Tamandua tetradactyla: one gene and its partners. The protein of the gene in region 3 interacts with the protein of the main gene of each other region in a pairwise test. Links are inferred from orthologs where the notes say so. Each region holds a gene or a part of one and is shown on either strand. Other genes may lie near its edges.

Region 1 (7,415 bases), on a different chromosome or scaffold from region 3:
GTGCGCACATCATCCATGCACTTCACCCACTGACACACGCCCAGTCACAAACAACCCAGCTCAGAATTAGCATCCCACGGGCACACCTTCCACCACCACACACCCTGAGGCCCTCGGGAGCCCCAGTTTTCTCCGGGAGGGTGAATCAAGTGTGAATAGGGGCACCTAAGGGAGGGGCAAGGCCCAGGGAGCGGCTGGACTCGCCACGGGTCAGGGCTCGGCTGTTTATCAGGTGGGGTGCAGGGAGAAGCAGGCTGTCAGGAGCTAGGAAGGTGGCGCCTGGTGTACCCAGCAGGGAAGGGGGGAAGGGCAGCCCAAACGCCGGCCTCAACTCTCTTCTCAGGGGACCTCTCCTGAGCTGGGCGAGGCTGGACCAGAGGACGCTGTCTCCCGCATCCTTCCCAGTGCCATGCACACACCTGCACACACGTGGGGCAGAGCTGCTCCGTGTCCATCAAGGTCAGGCTGGAACCCCCAACAGGCAGCTGACCCAGCAATTTCTCCCTTTCTCCCATATGCCACAATCACCCGGGGAGCTTTTAAAACCCTCAGGCCACACCCCAGAACAATGAAATCAGCCTGTCTCCAGTTGGGCCCAGGTATCAGCATTTCTAAAGCTTCCCAGGTGCAGTCAATGTTGAAACCTGTGCACTAGGACAGCGCTATACAAAGGGGCGAGTTCAAGGACCAGTCTCTGAAGCATCACCTGGAGCTTGTTAAAAATGCTGAATCTCAGGGCCCCACACAGACTCAGAATCAGAACTTGCATTTTAAACAGGCACTTGGGGGATTTGTGTGCTTATAAAAGAGAAGGATCTGGGGTTCAGACTGGACCCCACATAGTTGAACTGATTTATTTTAGCAAGGAGGATGGAGGGGCAATGTCCTGCCCAAGGCACCCCAAGTTTTTCTGAGACATGGGGTGGTCTGGGTGGGGCCAGCTAAGGGGCACTGACAAAGGGTGGGGGGAGGCTTGTGGCCCTGGAGCAGAGGAGAGTTGCCCTCCCCATCCCACCTCCCTGTAAGCAGTGGGGGTAGGGGCCACTGGTCCTTATCAGGCCCCAGAAGTGGTCAGAGCTAGGCAGCAGCTCAGGGAAGGCTTCCTAAACACGCCCCCAGACCCCCTAGGGAGCCAGCTCCTGCCCTGTCCCCACCCCCCTACCCTTTAGGAGAATCCTGAGCCTGGCTCCCCGACAGGAACCACTGTGGCTGGGGCAGAAAAGGGGGCAGTTATCAGACCACCCCAGCCCCTCCTCAGAGCCCAGCCTGGGCATGCCATCGCCCTCCTCCTGACTGGGCACACCCCCAAGGCTGGGGTCCCAACCTGGGGATCCCCAGAGCCTCCCCTGAGCCTGGCGCCATTGGCCAAACAAACCCAGGGACGCAGCCGACATGTCAGCTCCAGGAATGTGCTCAGGCACTTGGGGGTTCCCGGCCCCCTCCCCCATTTCACAGACAAGGAGATGGAAGCTCAGAGCCCTCCAGAGCACCCCCCATCCCACATCGCCCTCAGAGGAGAGGACCCAGGGATGGGGCCGCATGGGATTCCCGGGAAGAGCCCGCATGGGTCTGCGGCCACCAACTCTGCAGCGAGCCCACAGGTGCCACAAGCGCTCAGGGCCCTGCACCCCCCCGCGCTGGCCAGCCCTTTCGCCGCGGACCCAGCTCCAGTTCCAGGAGAGAGCAGAGGAGGGAGAAGGAGAGGGAGAGAGGGAGAGGGGAAACCCAGGCTCCCCGCCCTCGCAGGGATCCGCTGTACACACATGCACACACCACCATGCACACACTCACAGAGACACAACTCTCCCAGAAACCCACAACACACTCTCACAGGCACTCCCAACCCCCGTCCCCAAAGCCACACACACACACACACACACACACACACACACACACACACACACACGGGACCCTCACTGGGGCACGCACACCTGCACCCCCACGCTGTCAAGGCAAGGTGTGGAGGGAGGGGGCTGAAGCCCCTCCACCTCCGAGCCCCTCTGCAGGGAGAAGTCTTCCACCCCCATGCCATCCACCCACAAGAACCCTCCCTCTCAGGGCAGGGGGTGGGTGGGAAGGTGGGGCAAGCTCCTCAGAGGGGTGCAGTGTGGGTCCCTGAGCGGATGGCGGGGTGCGGGTGGGTGAAGGGATGAGTCTGGGGTCCATGAAGTGAACTAGACCGGGTGGGAGACAGGGAACGGTGAAGGGAGTGGGGGGGTGGAATGGGGGAGAAGTCCAGAGGAGCCCAGGGCAGTGGGGGTGCTTCGAATCCTCTGGAAAGGAGAGGGGGAGGCAGGAGGTGAGGAGGGGGCTTCATTTTCAAAGAGGGGCTGGAGGAAAAGGGTCTCTCATCTGGGAATAGGAACACAGGGCTTCGGGGTGGAGAGGAAGGAAGAAGAGAGGCTGGGGCGGGAGGTTGCTGGGGGTGGGGGTGGGGGCTTACAAAAGTAGCAACTTGGATGGGAATGAAGGAGAAGGAGGGGCTGGCAGCTGTCAGGGGCTCCGGGTCGGGAAGGGACAGGGGTATAGGGTGGGGGGCAGGGCTAGGGAAAGAATGGGCGCTTGGCTAGACAAAAGTAAGGGGACGGCGGCCCGGTCCAGGGGCCCCGGAGGTCCTGACACAGGGACAGCGAGAAGTCGAGGGGGGTCCGGGGAAGGGAGCGGCCCGGGACGTGGAGGGGCTGGGGGCTCGCGTTCCGGGAGACGGCGGGAGCGGGTGAAGAAGGTCCTGCTCCGGGCGACCGAGGGCGATGGGCCGGGGGTCCCCTGCTCAGAGAGAAGGGGCCTGGGGGTCCCGCCGGGACGGGGCAGGGCCGCCGTGAGGCTCCCGCCGGGGGTCCCTGGCGGCGCGTACTCACGTCCAGGATGACGGCGGTGCCCCCGCGCGGCGAGGCGGGGCCGGGGCCGGGGTCCGCGACCGGGACGACGGGGGCCAGCGGCGTCCGGGGCTCGCCCATCCTGGCGCCCACCCAGCGCAGCAGCCCGCCCAGCGCCCGGCCCTGCGGCGGCGGCTCCCGGAGCAGCCTGTGCGCGCCGGCCCTGCACAGGCGCGCCGCCCGCTCGCACATCGCGCCGCGCCCGCCGCCGCCGCCGCCGCCGCCCGGAAGCCCGCCGACCCCCGCCCGGCCGCGGCCCGCCCCCGCGCGACCCCCTCCCCGGCGCCGCCAGCCCGCCCGCCCGCGCGCCCCGCCCTCCCTCCCTCGGCCCCCACGGCCGCGGACACCGCGGGGACGGGCCGGCGCCAGCGAGGGGGGGACGGGAGGGGGGACGGGAGGGGGTGCCCCGCCCGGACCCCAGCCACGTGCCCGTGTCCACCGCCCCACCCCCAACCAGGGCGCGGGGCCTGGAGGCTGGACCCCGGCTGGACTGCGCGGGGTTGGTGGGGATCTGGGCGCTGGGGGAGGGACGTACCGCCGGGCTACACCCCTCGACAGTCTGTCCCCCCCACCCCCGCCACCTGGAGGTAACTACCCCCTCCCACCCACCACCCATCCACCGCCGCCCCCGCCCGGTGGCGCCGCCGCCGCCGCGGGTGTCCGGCGAGCCCCGAGCGCCCTCTGCCGGCGCCGGCTGCGGGGATCGGCGCCCACGCGCCCCAGGCTCCCGCATCACTCCAGCGGGCACCCACCCTTGCCCTCCCGGATCTTCTCAGGTCCCCCCGTCCAATTACACAACGCCCCAGAACCAGTCTCCACGCCAGAATACCCTCTTTACCGCACACTCTGTCTATCTGTCCATCCATCCATCTCAAGGTATAGTTAAGGAGCGCCTACTAGGTGCCAGGGCCCGTGCCCAGCCATCTCATGCTGGACAGAACAGGCAGGGCGTTGGCTTCCTGGAGCTTATATCCAATGGGGTGGAGGCAGTCACTGGAATGGGCAATTAAAACTGCTATGAAGTGGGGGGAGGGGGACTGAGGGCCATGGGGGAGGGGGAGACGGGTTGCCTTGCTGTGTGAGGGGCTTGTCAGCAGAGGCTTCCTGGAGGAAGTGGTCCTTATCCGGAGAGATTCAAAGGAAGAGAAGAAATTAAAGAGAGATGAGAAAAGCCTGTGCAAAGGCCCTGTGGCAAGCTCCAGCATGGGCTGAATGGAGACAGTGTTGCTACAATGGAGTGGGGGCAGGGAAAAGGTTGGTGCGGTGGGCAGGGTCTGTGAACCACGCCCCCCACACAGCAGACCACTCCTGTCCTAGTTCTCCTCCTGCTTCTCTAACACAGCTGCCCTTGTACCTGCTCTTTTGTGGTCCCCCAGCCCATGGCCCTCACCCAGGGAATCACCCACACAGCCCGGTGCTTCCTTCCAGCTCCCAGTGCTGGGCCCCAGGGCCCTGGACCCCACCCCAAACAGAGTCCTCAGACACGAGTGGAGGCAGGCGCTGGTTTTATTTGGGACCTGGAAGGAGCAGGGCCTGGAATCCTCCCGGCTGGGTGACAGCTGGCCCTGGGGAGCTGGACAAGGCTGTCGGAGCCCAGCTGATGCCGGCAGCTTTCACCCCAAATCGTGGGTCTGGGCCTGCCCCGGCCTGTGCCCACCGTTGCATCTTGGGCCTTGGCGGGAGTCTGGGACAGCCTGGGATCGCCACTCCTGCTTGCCGAGGCGTCTTCTGCTCCCCAGGGCGTCTTCGGAGGAGCCCTGCGCCCGGCAGGGCTGGGGTCATCTCCCCTCCTCTTCAGGGCCTAGGTGCGAGGGTGCAAGGGCCCCGCACTAGGGTGGCTTCCGGGTCTCCTTTCTCTGCAGGGAGCTGGCCACGGCCAGGGCCCCGCCCTGCACGAAGCGCACAAAGTTGTCCCCGGCCAGCGGCCCCATGGCGTACAGGCCCTCCTGGCGGCTGCTCTGGTAGGTGAAGGGGTCCACGTCCACGGGGTTGCGCTTGGCGCTCAGCGGCTGGTCGGGGTCCACAGCGAGGTCGGCGCCGCCCCCGGGGAGGAAGGAGAGGTCTGGGTGGGAGCCGATCAGGACCAGCACCAGCGAGACCTCGAAGACCTTCTGGTGGCCGGCGGGGTCGCGGAACACGGCCTGGCGGTCCTCCTTGCAGAGCAGCAGCTGGTGCTGGGGGAGGCTGAGGTAGCCCCCGTAGGGGCTGGGGGACAGGATGGACTGCTCCCGCATCATCTGGTGCACCTTGTGGTACTCAGGGTACAGCATCTTGGGCAGCTGGTTGAACACCAGGCCAGGGTCGTCCACAGGCCGGCGGAAGGCGTGGATCACGGGGACGCCGTAGTGGCGGGCGTAGAGGATGGCGTCGGCCGCCGACAGCCCGGCGCCCACGATGAGGACGGGGTCCGAGGCCGGGGTCACCGCGCCCGCCCGCGTGGCCGCCTCCAGGGCCGCCAGCTCGTGGTGGACGAAAGGCAGGCCCTCCCCGGGGATGTCCAGCCGGGCGGGGCTGTCGGATGTGCCTGTGGCCAGGACCACGTTGCGGGCGCACAGGGAGAAGGGCTGCCGGCTCTGCTCCTTGGTGGCCAGGAAGCCGCTCACCTGGAAGAGGGGGCTGGGGTCCTGGGCCCCGGAGCTGCCGGGCTGGGGCGCCCCCCACCGCACTGCCGTGACCACGGCGCCCGACACGAAGCTCCGGCCCAGACCCTTTTTGGTCACGTAGTCCCTGTAGTAATGGGCGATGTCCCCGGCTGTGGCCCGGCTGTTGCGCAGACCCCTGCGGGAAAGGACGCAGGAGGGGAGGGGGTGTCAGGGAGCCTCCTGGGGCGTGGCAGGGGATAGGTGGTGCAGGGACAGGGGCAGGACCTGCAGCTCAGACAGCAGCTGCACCACGCGCCAGCTGCAGGCCTTGCCCAGAGGTTCAGCTGCCCAGAGTCTCAGGCTCCTTTTCGGTAAAATGGAGCCATTGCGGGCCCTGACCCCGACCCCAAGAGGCCGGAGGTGCAGGGTGGGCTTGAGAGGGCCAGCGGACTCCAGAAGCAGACTGCCCGGGTTCAAATCCCGGCTTTGCCCTGGTGGGCTTTGTGCCTCAGTTTCCCCACATGTGCAATGAGGATGATGGTGGCAGTGCGTTCTTCATGAGGGTGCTGGGAAGACTACATATAAAGTGCTGAGAATGGAATGTGGTGGGAGCCAGTGACACATAGGTCTTGCCAGTGTTGTTACCTCAAAAGGGTTAACTAGCAGTCTGGGTAAATAGGGGATGAGTCTGTTTTTATCAAGGGCAGAACCAGGGAAAGCTGATCTATGGAGGTGGACGTCATTAGTGGTTTCCTCTGGGGAGAAGGAATGGGCTGGCAGATGGGAAGGGGAAGGGAGGGGCGTTGGGGTCTGGGTGGCTTTCTCCATCCACCTGTACACAGGTGAGCTGTGTACTTTTCTAGACGTGGGCTGTGCTTCAATTCAAATAACCAGTTTATTTTTAAGATACTCCATGTAAAGCACTTAGCAATGTGCCCAGCCTGCATCATAAGAATGGTGGCAGTTTATGATTATTGTTGTTATAATATTGCCACTCTTTCTGAGGGCAATGGCTGCAGGGTCCCATGCAGCCAGTGGTTGAGTTCGAGGCTTTGGGACAATCCCAGCTCCTCCTTCCACCCAGCACCAAGACATAGGGCAAGTTACTTTCCCCAGTGTGTGGAGCAACAGCTAAGGATGAGCTCACTGCATGTGGAATAACATGCAACATGCAACACAACATCTGGGAAATGCCACAGTGTAGGGTAAACTCAGGCCAGGTCCACTGTGGCCAACCCACCTCGGTCACTCTGCTACTGGAACCTGAACTCTGCAAATGAACTTATTTCTCTGGATAACTATCCTAAGAAGGTGTTACCCATGGGGTTATTTATGGTAACCACAAATTGGGAAGAACCTAAAAATTCCATAACCGGACAGCGCCAAGGGAGCATGCTTCTTGGCCCTGATGTCTGAGCACATGGCCCGGCATGCAGTGAGGTATTCAGTGGAGACAGGGTGCCCGTGCACCCTTGGGAGTCTTGTGTGGCCGTGTCAACAGACAGTTGCAATCATTGCCCAGTCACCAGTGAAATGCTTAGGATGTGATGTTGAAGTTTAAAGGTAAGATATAAAAGGGCATGTGCGTCCATGAAGTTTAAGTTCCCGTCTGCCTGTTAGCACATCATCACACAAGCCTGGATGTTTTCCTATCAAAATGTTAGGGTCAGAGATTCCTTGTGTTCAGGAGACAGACAGTGAAGCCCTGCAGAGCTGGACACTGAGTTGCGAAAGAGGCCCTAGGGCCCTGTCACAGCCCCCAGGACAGAAAGGGCAGCCCTAATACAAGGAAACATGCCAGCATGGTGGCGACACCTGGGACAGCTTCTCATGAGGGCACATCCACCGCCCTCCACCGTGTCCCCCAGGGTGAGCAGGGGCTGGAATTCCTTTATGCAACAAGATGACTCTTTCTCCAGGGCCCACAGGTGGGCAGCATGGCCAGAGATGGAGTAGG
Region 2 (7,959 bases), on a different chromosome or scaffold from region 3:
TAATACTTTCTTGCTCATAGGAGGCATGAGGAGAGTGTGTATTGCCTAGTACAGCATTTAAATTGCACTAGGTGGTCATCAAATAGTAGTTACTATTATTGCCGTTGTTATTGTTACTAAGTAACTTTTCCATAGTTATCCCACTAATTAGTGCTAGATTCAGGACCCTGGATTCACACCAAGTCTACCTCTTTGCTACTATACTTGACTTTTTTGGTGATGGGTCTTCAAAGTGAAATAGTTACACAAGTAAAATCCTAAAGAAATATCGTCTTTGCCATTGATAGCAGTCTCCTTAACAACATCCTCATTAACAGCTTGGTCATTATTAATCTGTCTCTCTTATGATTATAATTAAAAAGAGATGTTACCATTAAATCCAAGAAATTCTTTATGAAGCCTTTTAAATTCATCTTACTTGAAGTCTTCTGGGTGGATGCCTTTTAATAATACTTGTTTCTCCCTGTTCCCGGAGAAGGTCAAAATACATGGCCCTCGGCACTTGAAGGATTGGGAGAGAAATAAGAACAAACAATTTACTATTAAATTAGGCTGATCATTACTTATTTGAGTGTTAATACAATTACGGGTCTTTTCAGTTATATATGCCTAACCTATAGTCTGAATGTGGAGATGAAATACAAAGCAGGGACCCAATATGAATGCAAGCAATGAACTATTAGCCAGGACACAAGATTTAATCTCTGTCTCTCTCATTTTCTCCCTGGGTTGCTATTTAGAGGGAAAGCTGCAAAATTAACAATGTATTGACTACAAATGCTTTTCAAACATAGAATTTGGCCTGGAAAATACAAACATTGATTTTCATTAATCAATAATATTTCCATGAAATCTCCCGTAAAGTATAGGAAATCAGAAAAAAATAGTTTTAATATATGAAAATAAAATTCTCTTTTCCAGTGCAAAAATATATGATAAGTAAGATAGATGGATGGATGAATAGATAGATAGATACAGATAATTAGATGATAATGAAATGGAGCGTGACTGTGTAATAGGAGTGTGTGCAATGCTTAGCTTTGCATGTTTCAGATGAAACAGAGTCCCCAACTAGGGAAAGAAATTCCCACAAGTTGCTATTGTAATACAAAATATCAATGTTCTTACCTGGGGTAAAAGCCAGGGCTACAGATTAAGCCTCTGTTAGGAAACACTGAGGTCAACAGATCCACTGCGAATTTTATTTTTTATCTTGATTCTCCTAGGCCCTTGGGACTGCTAATGTGACCAATGCCACATGAATGAAGGTCTTGCCCTTTCTTTTTAACAATCAGGAGGGACTGTGAATTCTAGGTTGCTGTACAGAACATCTTTCAGTTCCGCTTTGCATTTTAAATGGAGAATCCTTGGTAATTGTGTGTCTCTATCCTCAAGACATTGGTGACCACTTTAAAGACTCTTCCTTCTCTCTAAATTTTAGTAGAATAAGAACAATGTTCTTATTTTCTTTCAATAGCTGCAGCCCTCAGTATGGAGAAAAACAAAGCACTTACTGGATTTCAAAATATAAATCTTTTGGTCAAATATTTTTAAGAAGGCTGACTACTTATTTTTATACTGTGGTTTGAACGATAGCGCTCCATTATTTAATTTAGTTTTTCTAAGATGCCAAGGGCTGTGTCAGGCTGTTATTGTTATCCCTGATTTTTAAGTGAAAAAAATTAAATAACTTTCCCAAGGCCATGTGATTTGGTATTTGGTGGATGGAACTGGGCTTAGAACGTGAGCCCCTTGGAAATAGTGATCAGAACTCTGGCCATCCCCTTCATATTTGTTTCTGAATACAGTTTTGCCATTTCAAAAAGAAACACATTTTCTAGTTGGGACGCTCAAGTACTAGGACCATTTTTTACCATTCAGGTACCAAAATCTTAAAACTCTGGGTAATTATCAGTTCTACAGAAAGCATCCATGAAAATCATTCTAGGTAAGCTCTGCTAGGTGCTAAAAGAGAATACAAGGCTCTTTGGCCAAGTCCTCCGATGAGGGGAACTTATTTCTGTTATTGGTTCAGAATGTGAAGAAAAGAGAAAATGAATTTGGTTGGAGTGTCTGCTTAATTATCATGTTGGTTGCCATAAAACATGCCTTACGTGCTTTATAAAATATCCAGGAGTAATTTATGTCACTTCAGTCTCAAAGCTTCCAATCACAGTGGGAAAAACTTCACAGTGCTCTTTCATCGCATGAAAGATTTGGGTTGGGGAAAGGCTGATCCTCCACTCATCTGTACTGCAATAAATCAATTCTGTTTGGGATGGTTTCCCAATTTGCATTAGAATAGATTCACTCCTACCGTGTTGCCTTCAAAATGAAAAAGCCTGATGGGTTAAACTGTACCTGAGACAATGATCTAAATTTAGAATCTAGCTGAAACATATGATTGCCATCTTTTACACATCAATATCAATGTAATTTTAATGTCCTGGCAAAGTCCTCTCTAAACAGTGGAACTATAAACTAAGTGGAAAAGATGAGTCTTTTCTTCTCATGTGCGATGATGAAAAAAGCTCTTTACACATAGTTTACATACCCATTCTAATGTACCCAGAACAATACTTGCAACTGGTAAACATTTGGTCCCCATGAAAAGATGTTCCCCTACATTTCAATAATTTAGAAACTTTCTGAGACTGTGGAAATAGACAAGTCAAGTGAATCTACCCATAGTTCTTGACCCTAATGCGTGCTGCAGTTGACACTCACCTGCAGAATATCTTCCATACCACGTCTCTCGTAGAGGAGGCAGCTGCCCTGCCAGAGCTTTATTCTGGTCCTGAAGCCTTGCCAAGGAAAATAAACTCTTTTCTTCCAGATTCTGACGGGATGCAAAGTCCACAGGGCTGGCTGGAGAAGCCTCTCCCTCCTTGTTTTCTAAAGGTGCGACTTTTGTCACCCTAGGGTGAGCCTTAGAGTGGTTCAAGCCCATTTCACATTCAAAGGAGAACTCAAGAGGAAGTGTTTACTGGCTTTCAATGGAGCTCGTTTTCAGAAGCTTTCCTTTCAGTTTTTCCTAGATTTACGAAACAGTCATTTCTTCATATCTTTCTACCACTATTCACCAGGCAGTAACCCCACTGGCTACTTCCTGGGAGGCTGGTTTCCATGGATACATTCCTTCAACTCCTACTTGGCCATTCCACACCAGTTAAACCAGAAGAATCCAGTTATACATTGACTTGGTTATGCTACTTTCCAAAAGACTCAGCGGTAGGAAATGGAAACCACTATTAATCATTAAACAAATCTCTAACACCAGGAAGGTCATTACCAGAGATGCAGAGCAGAAATCTCAGACTTGATCATTTCATTGTGCATACCTGGAATTACCATTTGTGAGATCCACTAATCAAAAGTAGCTAAGTCACCCTTGGAAATAAGAAGATGCATGCTAATTACCGAGGGCTTTGTCATCTTTAATTTTAATTAAAAAAATGCATCTTTGAAATATGAAAAAATGAAGCAAAGAACTTAAAGATTCAATCATTCTATTTCTCTGTCGATAACATTGTCTTTGAAGGGGATAGGTACACTGTAGGAAAGCAGAAAGAAAATAGGAGGATTTTTCTCTCTCTGGGGTAAGGGGCAAATTTCTTGAATTACCTGCAGAATATCTTTGTATAAATCTTGAGCTTTCAAAAAATAGACTATTTACTAAAAAAAACAAAAAATGAAACAACAACAAAAAAAAAAACAGAAAAAGACAGGAAGGGAAGGAAATATGTTAAAATATTTGGTGGGATTATGGGTGATTTTTATTTTATTCTTTATGTTTAGAACTCATTTTCAAGTTCTAATTGTTCACAACCATAGATTACCTGTTTTTCATAATCCCCTTAGAGAAGGTCAAAGAAATTTAGTTTTCAATTTTGCAGAGTCCATTTGCTAAGTGCATAATACAATCTTTGGAAAATCTTGATAGCCAATATAGTTCCTGTACAAAGATATCTTAGTTTAATTTTTCCCCTGACTTATTCCCTTTGAATTATATACACAATTTTCTTTGTGGCAGAGTGACTTGGAAGAAATAATTATATATTAATAGTATCTGCAAACAAAATTACCTTTGGTAACTAGAGACTATTTAATTATAAAGATTGAAGTACTCAGATAATATCAAGTCAGATTTATTTTGGGATATAATTACTTTAAGTATTTCTGAGAGCAGAGGAATGTACTGCAAAATAGCAGATGAACTGGAAATTATACTGAAAACAGTGGACTTTATGGATATCACCCAGTGGGAAAGATTCAGCTTTCATTTTTTTTTTTTTTTTCCATGGTTTGTGAGAGCAAAAGAAAAATGGAAACAATTTTAATATCCATCAACATGCAATTAGATGAAAATATAAACATATACAAATGAAATAGCATACAATAATTAAAAAGGAGCTATCTACATTATACACAAGTCTCAAAAATGTAAATTATGAAGTTATAACAAATTAAAAAGAGCAATATACGTACACTATTTATGTAAATTATAAGCACACATTGTTTCTTTCCACATAAATAATCAAAGCATCAAATCTACCTAACATGGATACTCCCCATCAAAATACAGTGATTATCTCTGGGGGAAGAATGAAGCTAGGGAAATAATTGAGGGAACTTTTGTGACTATCAGTGTAGCTTTGCTTTCTTTCTCTGAAAAAGAAAATCAGAAAATAACGTGTATTTTTCTTTTTTAACATTTTGCTTCTGATTTTTTCAAATTACTTAGAATATTTCATTATTCTCCACACTTTGCAGAGTGGTAAAAATGAGAGAAAAATGATGTATATAAATTGACAGTGTTTTAGATATATAAGAATCTGTTTTCTTATCACAATTCTATAACTTTCTAACTGATTTTTTTTCCTCTTTTGACTATATCTCACTCTTATTATTGACAAGCTATTTTTATTCCTTTTGAAAATCTTATTTGTACCAACCTAATGTGCTGAATTCACATGCAGTCATACAAAATATTGTCATTATAAGGAAAAAGATGAGATCACAAGTAGGTGATCTAAAGGCAGGCAGAAAGTTGCATCAATTACTTTTTTTCACAATAAAGTATATAGTAGCTGACATACTCTAGTTGCTCAATCTCTGTGTGTGTGTGTGTGTGTGTGTGTATGTCTGTGTTTAACAGAATAGAATGGAAACCTTTTCTAGTAGATTGAGGAGACTGTATAGCACTGGAAAAGCCCCAGATAAATTAGGTAAATGACGCTGAGGCTGAAGTAGACACAGGTGACTGATTGACAAATATTCCCAAAAACTTTCTGCCAAAGTGAAGTCAGAATTCTGGAGCCCAGTGAGCAGTCAGACAGGTCACACAATGGGGTTTTAGAAGGGCAGGGAGGATAAAACAGGGAGAATTAGGATTGAGAGCATGTGGTTGAAGCAACAGAGTGGTTAGGAGTTCAGCAAGTAGTGAATAGCTACCACATTCATATTATGAAGGGGCAGGCAGCTGGAGCCCTATAATATATACCAGTTATCCAAGTGGGGAGACCCCAGCCTCCACTGTAGAATCTCATCACACTTTCAAAGCCTTGGAAAATGGCCAGTGCAGGATTTCAGCTCTTCACAAGTAATGGATGTTACCCCGGTATTACAGGTAGCCATAAACTAGGTAGGCTTAGGTGATTTGACTCAGTAGAAATGATGTGATCAATGATAAAATAAGACCCTACAATAATGAGTGATTACTGAATTACTCAATACTTTAGAGAAGAGTCATATATCACAAACTCAGTTCTAAAGAGCATAGGACATGAATCTGACTTTAAAAGATCCATAGGCAATATAAAGTTACCTTAAAGTTTGAGAAGCACAATGCAAGGGATCTGTAATTGGTTCCCTTGCATTTTTGGCAAAGGTGTGTTTACTCTTTTTTTTTTTTTTTAATTAACGGAAAAAAAGAAATTAACCCAAAATTTAGAGATCATACCATTCTACACATGCAATCATTAATTCTTAACATCATCACATAGATGCATGATCATCATTTCTTAGTACATTTGCATTGGTTTAGAAGAACTAGCAACATAACCGAAAAAGATATAGAATGTTAATATAGAGAAAAAAATAAAAGTAATAATAGTAAAATCAAAACAAAACAAAACAAAAACCTATAGCTCAGATGCAGCTTCATTCAGTGTTTTAACATGATTACTTTACAATTAGGTATTATTGTGCTGTCCATTTTTGAGTTTTTGTATCTAGTCCTGTTGCACAGTCTGTATCCCTTCAGCTTCAATTACCCATTGTCTTACCCTGTTTCTAACTCCTGCTGAACTCTGTTACCAATGACATATTTCAAGTTTATTCTCGAATGTCCGTTCACATCAGTGGGACCATACAGTATTTGTCCTTTAGTTTTTGGCTGGATTCACTCAGCATAATATTCTCTAGGTTCATCCATGTTATTACATGGTTCATAAGTTTATCTTGTCTTAAAGCTGCATAATATTCCATTGTATGTATATACCACAGTTTGTTTAGCCACTCTTCTGTTGATGGAGATTTTGGCTGTTTCCATCTCTTTGCAATTGTAAATAATGCTGCTATAAACATTGGTGTGCAAATGTCCGTTTGTGTCTTTGCCCTTAAGTCCTTTGAGTAGATACCTAGCAATGGTATTGCTGGGTCGTATGGCAATTCTATATTCAGCTTTTTGAGGAACTGCCAAACTGCCTTCCACAGTGGTTGCACCCTTTGACATTCCCACCAACAGTGGATAAGTGTGCCTCTTTCTCCGCATCCTCTCCAGCACTTGTCATTTTCTGTTTTGTTGATAATGGCCATTCTGGTGGGTGTGAGATGATATCTCATTGTGGTTTTGATTTGCATTTCTCTAATGGCCAGGGACATTGAGCATCTCTTCATGTGCCTCTTGGCCATCCGTATTTCCTCTTCTGAGAGGTGTCTGTTCAAGTCTTTTTCCCATTTTGTAATTGGGTTGGCTGTCTTTTTGTTGTTGAGTTGAACAATCTCTTTATAAATTCTGGATACTAGACCTTTATCTGATATATCATTTCCAAATATTGTCTCCCATTGTGAAGGCTGTCTTTCTACTTTCTTGATGAAGTTCTTTGATGCACAAAAGTGTTTAATTTTGAGGAGTTCCCATTTATTTATTTCCTTCTTCAGTGCTCTTGCTTTAGGTTTAAGGTCCATAAAACCGCCTCCAGTTGTAAGATCCATAAGATATCTCCCAACATTTTCCTCTAACTGTTTTATGGTCTTAGACCTAATGTTTAGATCTTTGATCCATTTTGAGTTAACTTTTGTATAGGGTGTGAGAGATGGGTCTTCTTTCATTCTTTTGCATATGGATATCCAGTTCTCTAGGCACCATTTATTGAAGAGACTGTTCTGTCCCAGGTGAGTTGGCTTGACTGCCTTATCAAAGATCAAATGTCCATAGATGAGAGGGTCTATATCTGAGCACTCTATTCGATTCCATTGGTCGATATATCTATCTTTATGCCAATACCATGCTGTTTTGACCACTGTGGCTTCATAATATGCCTTAAAGTCAGGCAGCGCGAGACCTCCAACTTCGTTTTTTTTCCTCAAGATGTTTTTAGCAATTCGGGGCACCCTGCCCTTCCAGATAAATTTGCTTATTGGTTTTTCTATTTCTGAAAAATAAGTTGTTGGGATTTTGATTGGTATTGCATTGAATCTGTAAATCAATTTAGGTAGGATTGACATCTTAACTATATTTAGTCTTCCAATCCATGAACACGGTATGCCCTTCCATCTATTTAGGTCTTCTGTGATTTCTTTTAGCAGTTTTTTGTAGTTTTCTTTATATAGGTTTTTTGTCTCTTTAGTTAAATTTATTCCTAGGTATTTTATTCTTTTAGTTGCAATTGTAAATGGGATTCGTTTCTTGATTTCCCCCTCAGCTTGTTCATTACTATTGTATAGAAATGCTAC
Region 3 (7,211 bases):
AACTGGATATCTTAGTGTAACCATAGGTATATTCAAATAAAGTATTCAAATAACCATTGTAAAACCTGTGTTTGCACACCAAGTTTCATAAACCAATTTAAGATTAAGGGGACAAGGAAAAAATCTACAAATCCAGAGAGCAAAGTTCTTAAATTCTAAATATTAAACAGTAACTTAAATACCATTTGATCAGTTGTTAAAACTGTGAATGTTTTAAAAATATCAAGTAGAAAGTTATTACAAATATCTACATTGTAACAGTAATGACCTATGTTATTAAACATTTTCCTGATTTCAGGAAAATATGAAGATACAAATGTTTTTATAATTAACATATGAAACTTTAAACACCTAAAATGGATATCTTAGTTAGCTTATCCATATGCATATTTAAATAAAATATCTAAGTAATGATTGTAAAGTCTGTTTGTACGAGTCTTCATAAGCCAATTTAAAATTAAAGCAAGGAAGGAAAAATCTATAGATACAAATATCAGAGTTTCTTAGATTCCAAATATTAAACACTATCTTAAATACCATTTGATTAACTATCAAAATTGTGTACGTTCTCAAAATAATAAGTATATAGTTTTGAACAAAGATCTGTGATGTGATTGGTAAATGATTTTTTTAGTCATTCATTATATTTTCCTGCTTGAACATGATTTTCCAATGCTCAAAAACATGTTGATGTACTAGATTTTGTTTGCAAATAGATATAATTTTTCAAATATGTAGTGTCAATTCCCCAACTTTTATGACACTCTTCAATAGCATCAACTTTCTCAAGACAATGAATTTTGCATTTTGGGCCAAACAAACTTTTAATTTCAGTGCCTGGATTATAAAATGGTGGGCCTCTATGTTTAGGTGGACCGTTAGAAACCAAACATGAAATACTGGAACCCTTTTCTTGTTAGGGACATTATATTAACATCACATTCTCGATCACCTGGATTAACAGTGACTAAGGCTCTTCTATCCCAAATCGTGTCAAATTCACCAATTTGAATACTGATTCAAAAAAATCTTGAATCCCCAGTTCACTGATCTCCACACCAACTACGCTATGTCTCTGGTCTGCAAACCATCTAATTTCAACTGCTTTCCCATAAAGAGGGAAAAATATCCTTTGTCCACTCTTGCCATTAAGTAAAGTATCCAAACGCCTCTCTAATAGCTGATGTCCTTGTTCTTGATGAAATAAAATATTGCAGCTAACCCACTTTACTTGCCATTCTTCCAGAGTTAGTACTCAGTTTTTCAGCACCTCATTATTGGGGTAGTCATTAATTTTAAGTAAAGTTCTTGCATCATTCATATTTTTATAGACACCTTTGCCTCAAAAGCAGCTATCTTTAATCCTTTATAGTCACCTACATGTACTTTTACACAGATAATTTCTATTGATAAAGTTCAGATTAAACCAGTTTTATTTTGCATACCGTAAAAATCCTGAAAAAACAAGTTATGAATTGCGAATTTTCTTTCCCTACACTAACTAGTACATAAAAGGGTCCCCATGTCAAGCACCTACATTGTTTTCCTGGTAAATAATTGAGAAAACCTGGAAAAAAATATCTCCAAAGAGATAAAAGTTGGTTACAAAAAACATTTAGATCTAAAATATTCCCGGTGCCTGCCCATGTGAAAAAAAAAAAGACCTAAAATAAGGCAGCGAACAACTTGACATTCTCTTTATGACCACGTAAAACTACGTACCTTTAAAGTCCATGAAGCGAAAATCAGCAGCCTCCATTTTAAAATCTCTGGTTCAGGCCTAGGAAATAAAAAAAATATTTTAGTCTTTCCTTTATCATCTAGTTTCTCAATAAATTTCTTTACAATCAAATTTTTCCTGTTACTAGCTATTCAAAGGGAAAAACGGCTGAGGATATTTAAAAACCTAGAAAATGTAGTTAATGAGGGGCGGGGCAGGCTGGTGGGTGACTCAAAAGGGACCAGGAGGAGATTTTACCTCCCCCTAGAGGACTAGCGATTTTCTTCCCATAAAGCTGCCTAGTAAAGAGAGAAACAGGGCTCAGGGGTACCCTGTAATTGGTCTGGCTGGTTCTCATTGCCTCCTCCTAATTGGTTCAAAATCGCCGGCCCATTTACATCTTTACATTCAAACCATCCAATCACTCAGCGTTGTTTTTCCCGCTCTCAAAGACTCAGCGAGCGCCTTCAGCTCCCCACCCCCAACGCGCAGTCCAACGGAATCTAGCTTCAACGGAATCTAGCTTCAACGGGGTTTTAAGTCTGTCACATCCAAATTACGATAACTATTATTTCCCGCTTTCAGTGGCCCAGCACGGCTCCCCAAACTCTATCCTAAGGCAGAAAAAACACTAACTTTGCCCCTCTCCCTTCACCTAAAAGTCAGCCCTCAGAAGCTCAGTAGGCCAAAGTTATTGCCTCAGGGCCATTCTTTAAAAAGTGTTAGGATAGGGCGGGCCACGGTGGCTCAGCAGGCAGAGGGCTCGTTTCCCGTGCCTGCCCACGAAAAAAAAAAGTATTAGGATAGTGGCCACATCTTGCTGTTACAAACCACTCAACTAGCCTGTGCCTGAATCCTCCTCTAGCCCGTCCTCCCCACTAAAACACTCACCTCACCGAGGACCCGACAACGCCAAGTTGTCTTCTCTTCAGGCTCCTTCCACACCACAAGATGACGCTCACAAAGCTCCTCCCCTCGTAGTGACGCAATCAACTGCCTCGCCCAACAGGCGCTGCCCTGTATCACAGAATCTGTGCCTTGGGGCGCAGTCTAGACCTTAGGCCCTAGGGATGTAGTTCAGAAATCTAGGGTGAGAATCACTGAGAGCAAGCAAGTATGATGATATAAGAAATATACTGCAATCAATTGAGAGAAGAATGCAGAGGACAGGGATTACAGGAAAGATGAGAGCAGACCTTTGGACTGGGGGCAGGTGGGTGAAAAAGTATGTTTCCCTCTGATTATTGAAGAATGGCAAAGGTCAGAAATTGAGGAGACTGAAAAATCCTATAGTTCCAAGACATGTTTCTGTTGCCCTGCCCTGGCCAAATCTGAAGGAAACTACCTAATGCCCCCCATCTCCCACCCTTGCATGCTCACAGTAAGATCATATGTTCCGTCTATCTTCAGACAAATGGTTTTGGGGGTGAGGGTGGGATATATAGGTAAACATGTTTGATTCCAGCTAAACTTGTGGTAATGTTTGCAGACAAGAAATTGAACTGTTCTGAAACCTCCACCCAGAGACAGCAGATGCTGAATGTGTTAAGGCATGATTGCCTCCAGATTTGGAAAATAATCCACAATCAAAACATTAACAAGTCTCCTACTTCTTCCTTCACACACCCTCTTTGAAACCTTGTGCATCTCAGTCCAGATGTAGAAATGGCTGGCAGGATGAACAAGAGAAATTGTGGCTTCCATTCTGGGAACATGGATAGAGTTCCCTCCTGACCCTGAAAGTCTTGGAGTCAGTCCTTATATATCACAGAAAGTAATGAAGGGCTCTAAAAATAGTTTTTCCCCTATTCAAAATTTTCTCCATCTGGATCATATAGTACAGTGAAGAGAAACAGGAAAACTGAGAAAGTATTGCTATTAACTTCTCTTCTTTTGCATCCTCCAATTTAATATGTCCTCATTTCATAAGTGTAGATCACTAAATTAGGGAAAGAAGTCTGATGAAAGGGGCAGTAGATTATCCCATAGTTGACAGAATTCCCATACAACATATACTAGTGCCTTGATTTCCTCTTCTGTAAAATGGGAATAAAAGTAATTATTTCTAGCCTTCTGGTTCAATGAAATACTGTACATAAAGCATCTAGAACAGTGGCTAGCATATTGTAGGCACATGGCAAATGTCAGTTTCCATTATCATTCACCCTAACCTCGTTGGCATACTAAGGACTCCCAATTCCCATCATCCCACTCAGGCCTCTACTTCCAGCACCATGACTTATTTGTTCATGGATCAATAAGATGAACAAAAAAAGTGATAATGAGACCTCATCTCTCAAGTCTACAGTGGCCCTTTCACATAAATCGCAGACCTCTTAGTGATTAGTAATGCTCATAGTAGAGTGAAGATTATCTTATTAAAGATTATGTAAAGCATACAGGAATCACATGACTCTATTGAATAATGCTCATCACTAATATGACCCCAAAGTCAGGACTACAGAGCGGACACCAGTGCACTGAAACAATCAGTGAATCAAGGAAAATACATAGAAAGGGTGAAAGCCTTTACATTGAATGGGCATCTTCAATTTCTTGTTTTTGATCCAAATGACCTTCCTAGACATTAAAAGCCAAGTGAGGATTAAAAGAGAGAGAATAAACTAAAAAAGAGGGGCGGGAGAGTGAGCAAGGAAGTACTAGGGAGGAGACCGGAGGGGAAAGAAAAGAAGCAGGTGCATATTGAGGAGCATATACAAGGGTGAATAATAAAACACCACTAAGTGTCACTCAACATGCTGTGCATTATCTTCCCTACCCTAGCATCAACTATAAATGTTCTGCCCCTCCCTGTAAAAAATTGATACAGAAATGGTGAAATGTATATAGTGCATAAGGCAGGTGAACAACTTGGACTCTAATGAGATCCTATTAAGACTCTCATTAATACAGTGGATTAAAAGAAAGTAAGCAGCCAGGAATGCAAATTGGGTAATAAGGTGTATTACACTTTGTTAGAAGAAGAAAAACACCTTCAGAATAAACATGAAATTATAGAATAATCATCAGAAAATTCTAAAACAGAAGTATTAATGGAGTAAGGGAGAAGGGGCTTTTTCCATCAGATGTTAAAACTACACTAAAATGGAAAAGAATAGAGTCTAGAAACAGATATGTAAAACAAACACACACACACAGAAATGATTCAAATCGGGGGGGAAATGGATTATTCAAGAGCATTGAAAGGAATAACTGGATAGTAATTTGTAAAAAAAAAAAATAGATTCCTACTTTATTTCATACACCAAAATAAATTCTAGATTTATCAAAGATCAAAATGAAATCATAAAATTCCTTAAAGAAAATAAGAGCAAATATTTTATAAAGATGACAATGGCAATATCTGAACATGATCTGAAAACCAGAATCAAAAAAGGAAAAATGATGATGTTTTACTACATAAAGCTTTAAATCTTCTGCATGACTCTATAAACAGGGTTGAAAGACAAACCACAGCCCAGAAAAATTTTTTCAATATATATCACAGATAGTTAATATTTCTAACACAAAAATAGCTCTTAAGAAAAAAGACAAATACTCCAAGTAAATAAATGAGTAAAGAATACGCTCAACAATTCACACAGGAAGAGACAAATAACCAATAAACACATGAAAGATGTTTGACCTCATCTGTAATCATAGAATGCAAATTAAAGCAAGGTAAGTTTTTCATCTATCAGATTGGCAAAGATTAAAAAGATGAGCAAAAATCTCAAGTTGGCAAGATACACATAACAAACACTCTTGGACACTGCTGATAGAAGCATACATTATTGCAACTTTTCTGGAGGGAAGTTTGGCCATGTGTATCAAATTTTAAATGTGTTTATCTCATCACTCAAGAATTTCTCTTCTAGGAATTTTCCTAAAGAGGAAATTGGGAAAATGTGCTAAAACATATTAAGGAAACATTCACTGAATCATTGTAAACCACTTCAATGTTCACCAGTAGTGCACTAGTTACGCAACTTATGGTACGTTGGGGCCATACAATGGAATACTATACAGTCTTTAAAACATTATTGTGAAAATAACCTGTACTTATAAAACTGGGAAAACGCTTATATCATACTGTTGAGTTTAAAAAGGAAAAAAAATTACAGAGAAGGTATGTAATACGTATGCAAATCTTAGGCATACGTGAACAAAAATTGTCTGGAAAGATATTTAACAAAATGTTAAGAATGTTTGTTTTTGGATGGTGGGATTCTGAAGAACTTTTACTTTCTTCTTTATATTATCCAGTGTTTTTTAATTTTCTATAATAAACACATTTTTATCTTGAGGAAAGCTATTTTCATTTAAAAAAAAAACACAGGAAGATGAGGGAGTTTTTATCTGATGGGTATGTAATTTTCTCAACAAACTACGAGCAAAGTCAATAGAGAGTAGGAAGGAGAACTGTGGGGAGTGTGAAAGAGGTAAGAAATCGTTATTTCAGAGTGTTGAGCATCTAGTTGAGGTTAATGCCCAGTTTGCTGCCCAGTTAGTTAGCTTGCCCAGTTGTGTGATTTCCTCTGACATTCCTGAACTGCACAGGTGAAAGAATGAAGAAGATGTTTGGATTCCTCCAGAGGAACTCTGGAGTGCTACCTAGGGATTGAGGATATTTGCAAACGAGTGACGATAATGATAATAAATTCAGTAATTTATGTAGGAAAGGGAGCAAGTAAAGATTGGAGTAGAGTGAGGAAAAGAAAGAAAGTGTGTGGGAAGGAGGTCAGTGAATTGGATGATTATTGAGGCCACTTGAGGAAGTGAGCTGGGAAATCTAGGAGAGTTGTGGACAGAGAACTTGATGTTTAAATTATTGATTTCAGAGATGCACATTCTGGTGATGGCAAGATCTAGGGTATGATCATGTGAGTGGGTAATCGAGGTGGAATTCATTGAGTCAAACCACAGAACCACTCCCTCCCTTCTTCAATTTTATAACACTTATCTACACACTTCAGTTCAGGCCTTAGAATTAATCGCCTTCAAGAGTCTGACCCCAGACTAACTTTCCTGCCTTCTTTTTCCACTTCACTCCTTCAAATTCCTAGGCTCCAGGCAAAATGAATCACAAGCTTTCCCAACTTCTTGCTTTTGCATAAAATGTTCCCTCCCTCTGGAATGCCCTTCCCCATTTCTGAAATAACACATTTTACCTACCCTTTAACTTCTGCTTAAAAGCCTCAATATCCATGAAGCCTTTCCAGACCTCCCTTCTGTGAATTCTCATAGTACCCCATCCATACCTCTTAAGACAACAATCCAAAAGTTCTCCCCTCATTCCCTCCAGCTACTGCCCCCAAATGCTAGCCTATAGCTCCTGTATTCTTTTCCTCACCCTACAATCACTCAACCCACTACAATTGGCTTCCACCCCACCACCTGATCAAAACAGCTCTTGAAGTGATCATCAATTACCTCCTAAAAGATAAAACCAATCAACCATTTTCAGGCCTTACCTTACTCAACCTGGGTA
Region 4 (7,202 bases), on a different chromosome or scaffold from region 3:
GTCATTTATCTTTCCTTCTGATTTCATTTGTGTTCCCAGGCATCCTCCCTCTTTCATTCTTACATTCAGTGTTCTAACATTATTGTAGTACAGTTAGGTAGTATTGTGCTATCCAATTCTAAATACAGTATTTGTCCTTTTGTTTCTGGCTAATCTCACTCAGCATAGTATCGTTAAGGTCCATCCATGTTGTTACATACTTCATAACTTTATTCTGTCTTACAGCTGCATAATATTTCATCATATGTATATACCATAGCTTGTTTAGCCACTCGTTTGTTGATGGACATTTGGGCTGTTTCCATCTCTTGGCAATTGTAAACAATGCTACTATAAACATTGGTGTGCAAATGTCCATTTGTGTCCTTGCCCTCATGTCCTCTGAGTAGATACCTAGCAATGGTATTGCCGGGTCATATGGAAATTCTATACTTAGCTTCCTGAAGAACTGCCAAACTGCCTTCCACAGTGGTTGTGCCATTTGACATTCCCACCAACAGTGGATAAGTGTGTCTCTTTCTCCACATCCTCTCCAGCACTTGTTGTTTTCTGTTTTATTGATAATGGCCATTCTGGTGGGTGTGAGATGATATCTAATTTGTGGTTTTGATTTGCATTTCCCTAATAGCCAGGGAAGTTGAGCATCTTTTCATGTGCCTTTTGACCATTTGTATTTCCTCTTCTGAGAAATGTCTGTTCATGTCTCTTGCCCATTTTGTAATTGGGTTGTCTGTCTTTTTGTCATTGAGTTGATCAATCTCTTTATATATTCTGGATACTAGACCTTTATCTGATCTATCGTTTCCAAATATTGTCTCCCATTGTGTAGGCTGTTTTATTACTTTCTTGATGAAGTCCTTTGATGCACAAAAGTGTTTAATTTTGAGGAGTTCCTTTCTCTTTCTTTTCTTTCTTTCTTTCTTTTTTTCTTTTTCTTTCTTCCTTCCTTCCTTTCTCTTTCTTCTTTTCTTCCCTCCCTTCCTCCCTCCCTCCCTCCCTCCCTCCCTCCCTCCCTTCCTTCCTCCCTCCCTACCTACTTACCAACCTGCCTTTAATGCTTGTGCTTTGGGTGTAAGGTCTAGGAAACCACTTCCTATTATAAGATTGATAAGATATTTCCCTACATTTTCTTCTAACAGTTTTATGGTCTTAGATCTAACGTTTAGGTATTTGATACATTTTGAGTTAATTTTTGTATAGGGTGTGAGATATGGATCCTCTTTCATTCTTTTGCATATGGGTATCCAGTTCTCTAGGCACCATTTATTGAAGAGACTATTCTGTCTGTCTCAGGTGAGTTGGCTTCACTGCCTTATCAAAGATCAATTGTCCATAGATGAGAGGGTCTATATCTGGACACTCTATTCGATTCCATTGATCAGTGTTTCTATCTTTATGCCAGTACCATGCTGTTTTGACCATTGTAGCTTTGTAATACGCCTTAAGTTCAGGTAGCATGAGACCTCTGACCTCATTTTTCTTTTTCAGGATATTTTTTACCTACTCGGGGCACCCTGCCCTTCCAGATATATTAGGTTTTTGTTTTTTCTATTCCTGAAAAGTAAGCTTTTGGGACTTTAATTATTATTGCATTGAATCTGTATATCAATGTAGGTATAATTGACATCTTAACTATGTTTGAGTCTTCCAATTCAGGTAACTATTGATGGTTGCAGTCTGCTCTTGGAGAAAGAATTAAAGGAATGTAAACAGGCAAGTACTTTGATGAGTTATGGGTTTAGCCTGGGCCTCTATATCTGGGAATGGAAAGGAGACGTGACAGAACAAACAAGAGCTGCATTTTGAGATTCCCTCTGTCAAAGCTAACAGAGAACATAGATCAAGGTGATTTCTACTTATGTATTATTGGAATATAAACTGTTACATGTTTGAGAAGCAATTTAGCCTAGTCATCTAGAACTTAAATGTTAAGTTTTGACACGTAATTTCACTTCTAGGAATCTATCCAATCAGTAGGGTTATTGTAGATGCAAGTAAATGCATTCAAGATGTCTCAAGAAATGTTAAGACTACACAGACCCAGGAATCCAGGAAAACCTAAACATCTCAGCCTCAGGAAGAGCAAATATCTGGGAGTGGCTGTGGGTTTTGACAGCCCTGGGAACTCAACAATAGGAATTTCTCAATGTGCCACCTCTACTTATTTGACTAGGAAACCATCCTCTCTGCCCTAGCTCTCTTTTATTATCTAATCACTGCTTCTTTATAGTTTCTAGTCCCTGGTAACTTGTTTGCACATGGCCTATCGGATCAGTCCCAATCATCTTCCAGCAATTCTTCCAGGTGTCTCTTCCCACCTCTTATTTGACTGTTTCAGTGTTTCCTTGTTTGAACTCTCCAGAGAGGGAATCTGATTGGCCGGATGTGTGGGTTTGAAAGGGTTATGTGCCCTAGAAAAGCCACGTTTTAATCCTGATCCATCTCGTGGAGGCAGCCGGTTCTTTTAATTCCTATTTAGTACAGTAGGTTGGAAACTTAATTAGATTATCTCAACAGAGATGTGGCTTACCCAACTGTGGGTTTTAACCTTTGATTATATGGAGAAAGGACTCCACCCATTCCAGGTGGGTCTTGATTCGTTTACTGGAATCCTTTAAAAAAGGAAACATTTTGGAGAGAGCTCTGGCAACCAGAGTCCTTTGGAGATGAAGAAGGAAAACGCCCCCAGAGGTGTTTCATGAAACAAGAAGCTTGGAGAGAATGCTAGCAGACCTCTCCACATTCGCTCTGTGCCTTTCCAGTTGAGAAAGAAACCCCAAACATCCTCGGCATTCTTGAAGCAAGGTATTTCTCTTGGATGCCTTAGATTGTACATTTCCATAGTCTTTCCTTAATATGGACATTTTCAGCCTTAGAATTGTAAACTAGCAACTTAACAAATTCCTCTTTTTAATTGCTGTTCTGTTTCTGGTATATCTCATTCGACAGCTTGCAAAAGTAGAACATCAGGTCACCTTTCCAAACCAAGCAATGCACGGGTCTTTGGTCCCCTTATGGATTGGCTGCCGTTGGATCAGGTGTCCTCCATGGTCCAATCAGCCGTGGCTGTGAGCAGATAACCCTGTGCAGAGACCAATGGTGGTGGGTGGCCAATGTTTCTAATAAGGGACTTTCCGCGGGCAGGCAATGGAAGGTACATCTTTAGAAAAGGGACCTAAGAAAAAGATTGAGAAACGGGGAATAAGGGGTGAAAAAAAGTGCCCTTTTGCTGTATGTTGAAAAAAACCGTAATTTCAATCAACAGAATAGCATGATAAACTACGGGCTACCTGTGGGGTGGAACAATAAGCAGTTAATGCGATGACTTTCAAGAATATTCAGGAATACCGAGACGAACTCACAAAATAAGTGTAACAGGGATATACCCTATATACAGTGTTGTCAGAATTTTTATACAAACAAATTAACCCCCAAAACTACGTTTACTTCTTTAATATGTAAGAGTAAGATAACAGATTAGTGGTACGATAACTGGTGGTTTTAATATTCTTCTTTATTCAGTCATACAGCTTTCAGATATTCCATAATGAGATATTTTTATAATTGAGGTAAATACTAAGTATTATTTGTTAAGTCTACAGCCATTAATTTTGGGCCCGCGGGACTGGGTCAGATCCCCCGGCCCCCTCCCCCCTCCCCATACCCCTGCGTCCCCACTCCCGTTGTCAAGGAGGCGCACCACGCTGCTCGGCCGCCTCCGCACCCCCAGGCCCCTCTTCTCCTTCCGGGTCTGCCCATCCCACCGAAGAACGGGCCAAACTGCTCTCCCTCGCATCCTTCCGTTCCTCGGCCCCCTTCCCATGATCTTATCTCGAAATAAAATATGTACTTTTCTGAACTGGCCAAGGTTTTTTCCAACACATTACTTTCCTAACCAAAAATAATAAACGTTTACTCTGAAAGCAGCCAAAGCAAGCTCTCGGCCGGGCTCCTACCGGCCCGAGCCTCTCTCCCTGCGTCCAGACGACTGGCGGCGCCAGCGCGATCTCGCCCACGTCCCTTCTGAGGCTCTCCGACTGATCAAGGCCCCAGAGCTCCAAGCGACCTCTCGGCAGGGCTCCCCGCCCGCAGTTTCCCCGCAAGAACTGCAGCCAGTTTCAGCTGGGGCCGGCCTTCCAAGCGCTCCCTGCCTCTGTGCACCTCGTCTGCCTTCCGCCTTCCGCCTTCCGGTCGGCCAAGGGATCTGACCCCAGGCCTGTCGTCACAGCCTGGCCATGGCTCCGCTGCGCTTCTCGGCGAATCTGTCGTGGTTGTTCCCCGAGCTCTCCAGCCTCCCCGCGCGACTCCAGGCCGCGGGCAGCTCGGGCTTCGAGGCCGCCGAGATCGCCTGGCCTTACACGGAGGCGCCAGAGACGCTGGCACGCTCGGCTCAGGACGCAGGACTGCGGCTGGTGCTCATCAACACGCCCCAAGGTGCGCCGGCCGGGCCGGGACTGGGTCGGACCACGGGGTAGGACCGGGCGTCCAAGCTGGGGGCTGAAGCTCGTTCTCTCCACAGGAGACCGCGAGAAGGGGGAAATGGGGCTGGGCGCCGTTCCTGGGAGGCAGGCGGCCTTCCGAGAGGGACTGGAGCAGGCTGTGCTGTATGCCAAGGCTTTGAGCTGTCCCAGGTATCCTACCCTTTCCTATCCCCTTTATGCCCCCTTTTGGCTGACTCTTCCCTACCTCTGACCCATAACCCAGGTCTGGAAGGCTCAGCTGACTGCACCAGCTCTGCCCACCCTAGCCAATCCTGGTCCTTTTTAATTTACCGTTTGCATTTTCTTTATGTTGTGTGTCATTCTCTGCTCATTTCCTGCTGGGATCCTATGTTAGGAGCTGACTAAGGAGATAGAGAAGTAAAATATACTGAGTAACCCATTCTATGATAGGGGTCAGTTCAAGAGACCATGGGAGCAGAGTTGGCACATAACCCCTCAGGGCCAGAGCTTCTTACAGGTAGTGATGCTTGAACTGGAACTTGAAGGAGTTACTTCGTGGGCAAGAGGGGAAGACCATTGGTCAGAGCCGAGAGGAGAGTTGGTATGTTCAGCAGGCTTCAAGTGTGTTTAGCGGGGTTCATGAGGCGGAGATGGAGCTTGTTGGTGTGGGGAGGGAAGGGAATGTCCGAAGTTTGGTTGTGGCTGAGAAAGACCAGATGGTGATATCAGGGAGGAGGTGGAAGGTTCAGAGTGGGTCTGATCAAACAAAGGTCAACTCCTGGAAAGGTCAAATCAGCCAAGAAGGAACTGGCAACAAGATTCATTACTGGTAAGTGGTGGGGGCAAAACACAGATGGGAAGGGGTGGAAAAAGATGTAAGGAGGTGGTACAAGGGTAGTTCAGTGGTTGAATTCTCACCTGCCACGTAGGAGACCCAGGTTCAATTCCTAGCCCAGGCGCTTCCAAAAAAACAAAACAAAAAAAACAAAAACACAAACAAAAATTCAACAAATGGTGCTGCAATAACAGGATATTCATATGGAAAAAGAATGAAATGTGACCCCACCATACAGCATACAAAAAAAAAAAAAAAGGAGAGGAAGTAGAGACAGGCAACATGGAATGCTTTGAGAAGGGTAAGGGTCGAAGTAAATTTTAAAAGTTGAGAATTAAGCATACCTTTAGGCTGAGAAGGGGCCAAAGGAAAGCAAGCACAAGAAGGATTAAATGATGGACTGAGGACTGTCAGGAGGGAATGGGATTTAGAGCCCAGGAAAATAGGTTGACCCTAAGAAGGTTTCTTGGCTGCCTGAGCATCATGGTCCAGGTGGTGTTGTGAACTGAAGACCTGGCATAGTCACGGCATCCTGGAGGAAGTGCACATAGGGAACCAAAGGCATGAAGGCCTCTGCTTCTAGGATGGACTTACCAGACTCCTCCAGTTCCATCTTCCCCACAGCATTCACCTGATGGCTGGCCGTATACCCCAGGGGGCCGACCGAGAAGTTGTTAGGGGTGAGATGGAGAATGTTTTTCTGGAGAACCTGAGGCACGCTGCTGGGGTTTTGGCTCAGGTAAGACATGAAACACATTTTGGCACACGTACTTAAATGTGTCTGGGTGTATGCTGAGGGAAGTGCAGTGGGGAGAGCAAGTGAGGCAGCACAAGGCTGTGGACAGGGAGTGAAGGGACAAATGTGGGGAGGAACTTCATTCACAGCATACATTGTGGCACTAGGAGAACCTCGTGGGACTGCTGGAGCCCATTAACACCCGCATCACTGATCCCCAGTACTTCCTGGATACACCCCAGCAGGGTAGGACTCTCAGCCCTATGCCTCCTCCTGTCCCTGTTGATTCCTGTATTTTTGAGTCTCATGGCTTCCTTCCTGACTTTTTCTCCCAGCGGCTGCCATCTTAAAGAAAGTTGGAAGACCTAACCTCCAGTTACAAATGGTAAGTGGAAGAATGCAAGTGTTTCTCAGAGAGCCCATGTTCTCCAAATCTGGGGAGCATGGAAAAATGACTAGCAGGGGCCTGCAGGGTCTCTGAAGTATTTTCTTCCCTAGGACATATTCCACTGGCAGATCATGGATGGGAACCTGACAGGAAACATCCAGAAGTTCCTCCCCATTGTTGGTGAGGGGTCCCTTTCTTTGCTCTTTCCTAATCTGCTATGTTTCCTGTGCCCTCCCACCCTTTCAATCCTACATCTCTTCCTCAGGCCTGGGCCCCACATCTGTCTATATCTGTCCCTAGGGCATGTGCAGATAGCACAGGTCCCAGGTCGGGGGGAACCTGGAAGCCCTGGAGAGCTGAACTTCCCCTACCTATTACAGCTGCTGGAAGACGAAGGCTACAAAGGGTTTGTGGGTTGCGAGTACCGGCCTCAAGGTGAGGGGTGAGGTGAAAGATGGGTAAGGCTCTAGGCTTGGCCCTGGGGAAGGGAGCACTGCAGGGACTTAACTGGACAGAGACTTTTTTCTTGGTTGAAATGCCACTGCCTCTTTCTCTCCTCAGGAGACACAGTAGAGGGCTTAAGTTGGCTCCGTTCATACTGGAATAGGCGAGGCTACCCACAGGCTGGCCAGTGAGGTCCTGCATACCATTCATGTGCCTCTCTGTGACAGCTGAGTGAGAGTCTTTGTCTCCTTGGAATTAAAGACAACCTGTGCAACATTTTCACATGTATATGCATTTAGGGTTAGAGGGCTGGAGAGGAGGTGTGGACAGCAGTTTCTTAACCCTTCAGCTTCTCTG

Evidence for each region.
Region 1: the proteins of TEX11 (region 3) and NECAB2 interact in binary tests that used the Homo sapiens proteins (3 or more experiments, as listed by UniProt). The two-hybrid records come from large-scale screens. The link is inferred for Tamandua tetradactyla from reciprocal best matches to the Homo sapiens genes TEX11 and NECAB2.
Region 2: the proteins of TEX11 (region 3) and CCDC198 interact in binary tests that used the Homo sapiens proteins (3 or more experiments, as listed by UniProt). The two-hybrid records come from large-scale screens. The link is inferred for Tamandua tetradactyla from reciprocal best matches to the Homo sapiens genes TEX11 and CCDC198.
Region 4: the proteins of TEX11 (region 3) and HYI interact in binary tests that used the Homo sapiens proteins (3 or more experiments, as listed by UniProt). The two-hybrid records come from large-scale screens. The link is inferred for Tamandua tetradactyla from reciprocal best matches to the Homo sapiens genes TEX11 and HYI.

The regions. Positions count from the first base shown.
Region 1 is NC_135342.1:78,661,990-78,669,404, reverse strand, and holds the start of NECAB2 (N-terminal EF-hand calcium-binding protein 2), read right to left. Parts: upstream 3,069-7,415; coding exon 2,859-3,068; intron 1-2,858. Other genes in the region: OSGIN1 (oxidative stress-induced growth inhibitor 1), read right to left, coding at 4,706-5,654. UniProt on the Homo sapiens protein: May act as a signaling scaffold protein that senses intracellular calcium.
Region 2 is NC_135338.1:8,227,501-8,235,459, reverse strand, and holds the start of CCDC198 (factor associated with metabolism and energy), read right to left. Parts: upstream 3,172-7,959; 5' UTR 2,951-3,171; coding exon 2,728-2,950; intron 502-2,727; coding exon 419-501; intron 1-418. UniProt on the Homo sapiens protein: May be involved in tuning the metabolism, energy expenditure, and excretion processes.
Region 3 is NC_135353.1:100,742,825-100,750,035, reverse strand, and holds the start of TEX11 (testis-expressed protein 11), read right to left. Parts: upstream 3,037-7,211; 5' UTR 2,612-3,036; intron 2,046-2,611; exon of another isoform or gene 1,979-2,045; intron 1,781-1,978; 5' UTR 1,760-1,780; coding exon 1,723-1,759; intron 1,525-1,722; exon of another isoform or gene 1,503-1,524; intron 1,255-1,502; exon of another isoform or gene 677-1,254; intron 1-676. UniProt on the Homo sapiens protein: Regulator of crossing-over during meiosis. Involved in initiation and/or maintenance of chromosome synapsis and formation of crossovers.
Region 4 is NC_135328.1:180,594,984-180,602,185, forward strand, and holds HYI (putative hydroxypyruvate isomerase), read left to right. Parts: upstream 1-4,168; 5' UTR 4,169-4,235; coding exon 4,236-4,434; intron 4,435-4,519; coding exon 4,520-4,631; intron 4,632-5,901; coding exon 5,902-6,016; intron 6,017-6,180; coding exon 6,181-6,259; intron 6,260-6,348; coding exon 6,349-6,398; intron 6,399-6,511; coding exon 6,512-6,581; intron 6,582-6,701; coding exon 6,702-6,836; intron 6,837-6,962; coding exon 6,963-7,036; 3' UTR 7,037-7,121; downstream 7,122-7,202. UniProt on the Homo sapiens protein: Catalyzes the reversible isomerization between hydroxypyruvate and 2-hydroxy-3-oxopropanoate (also termed tartronate semialdehyde).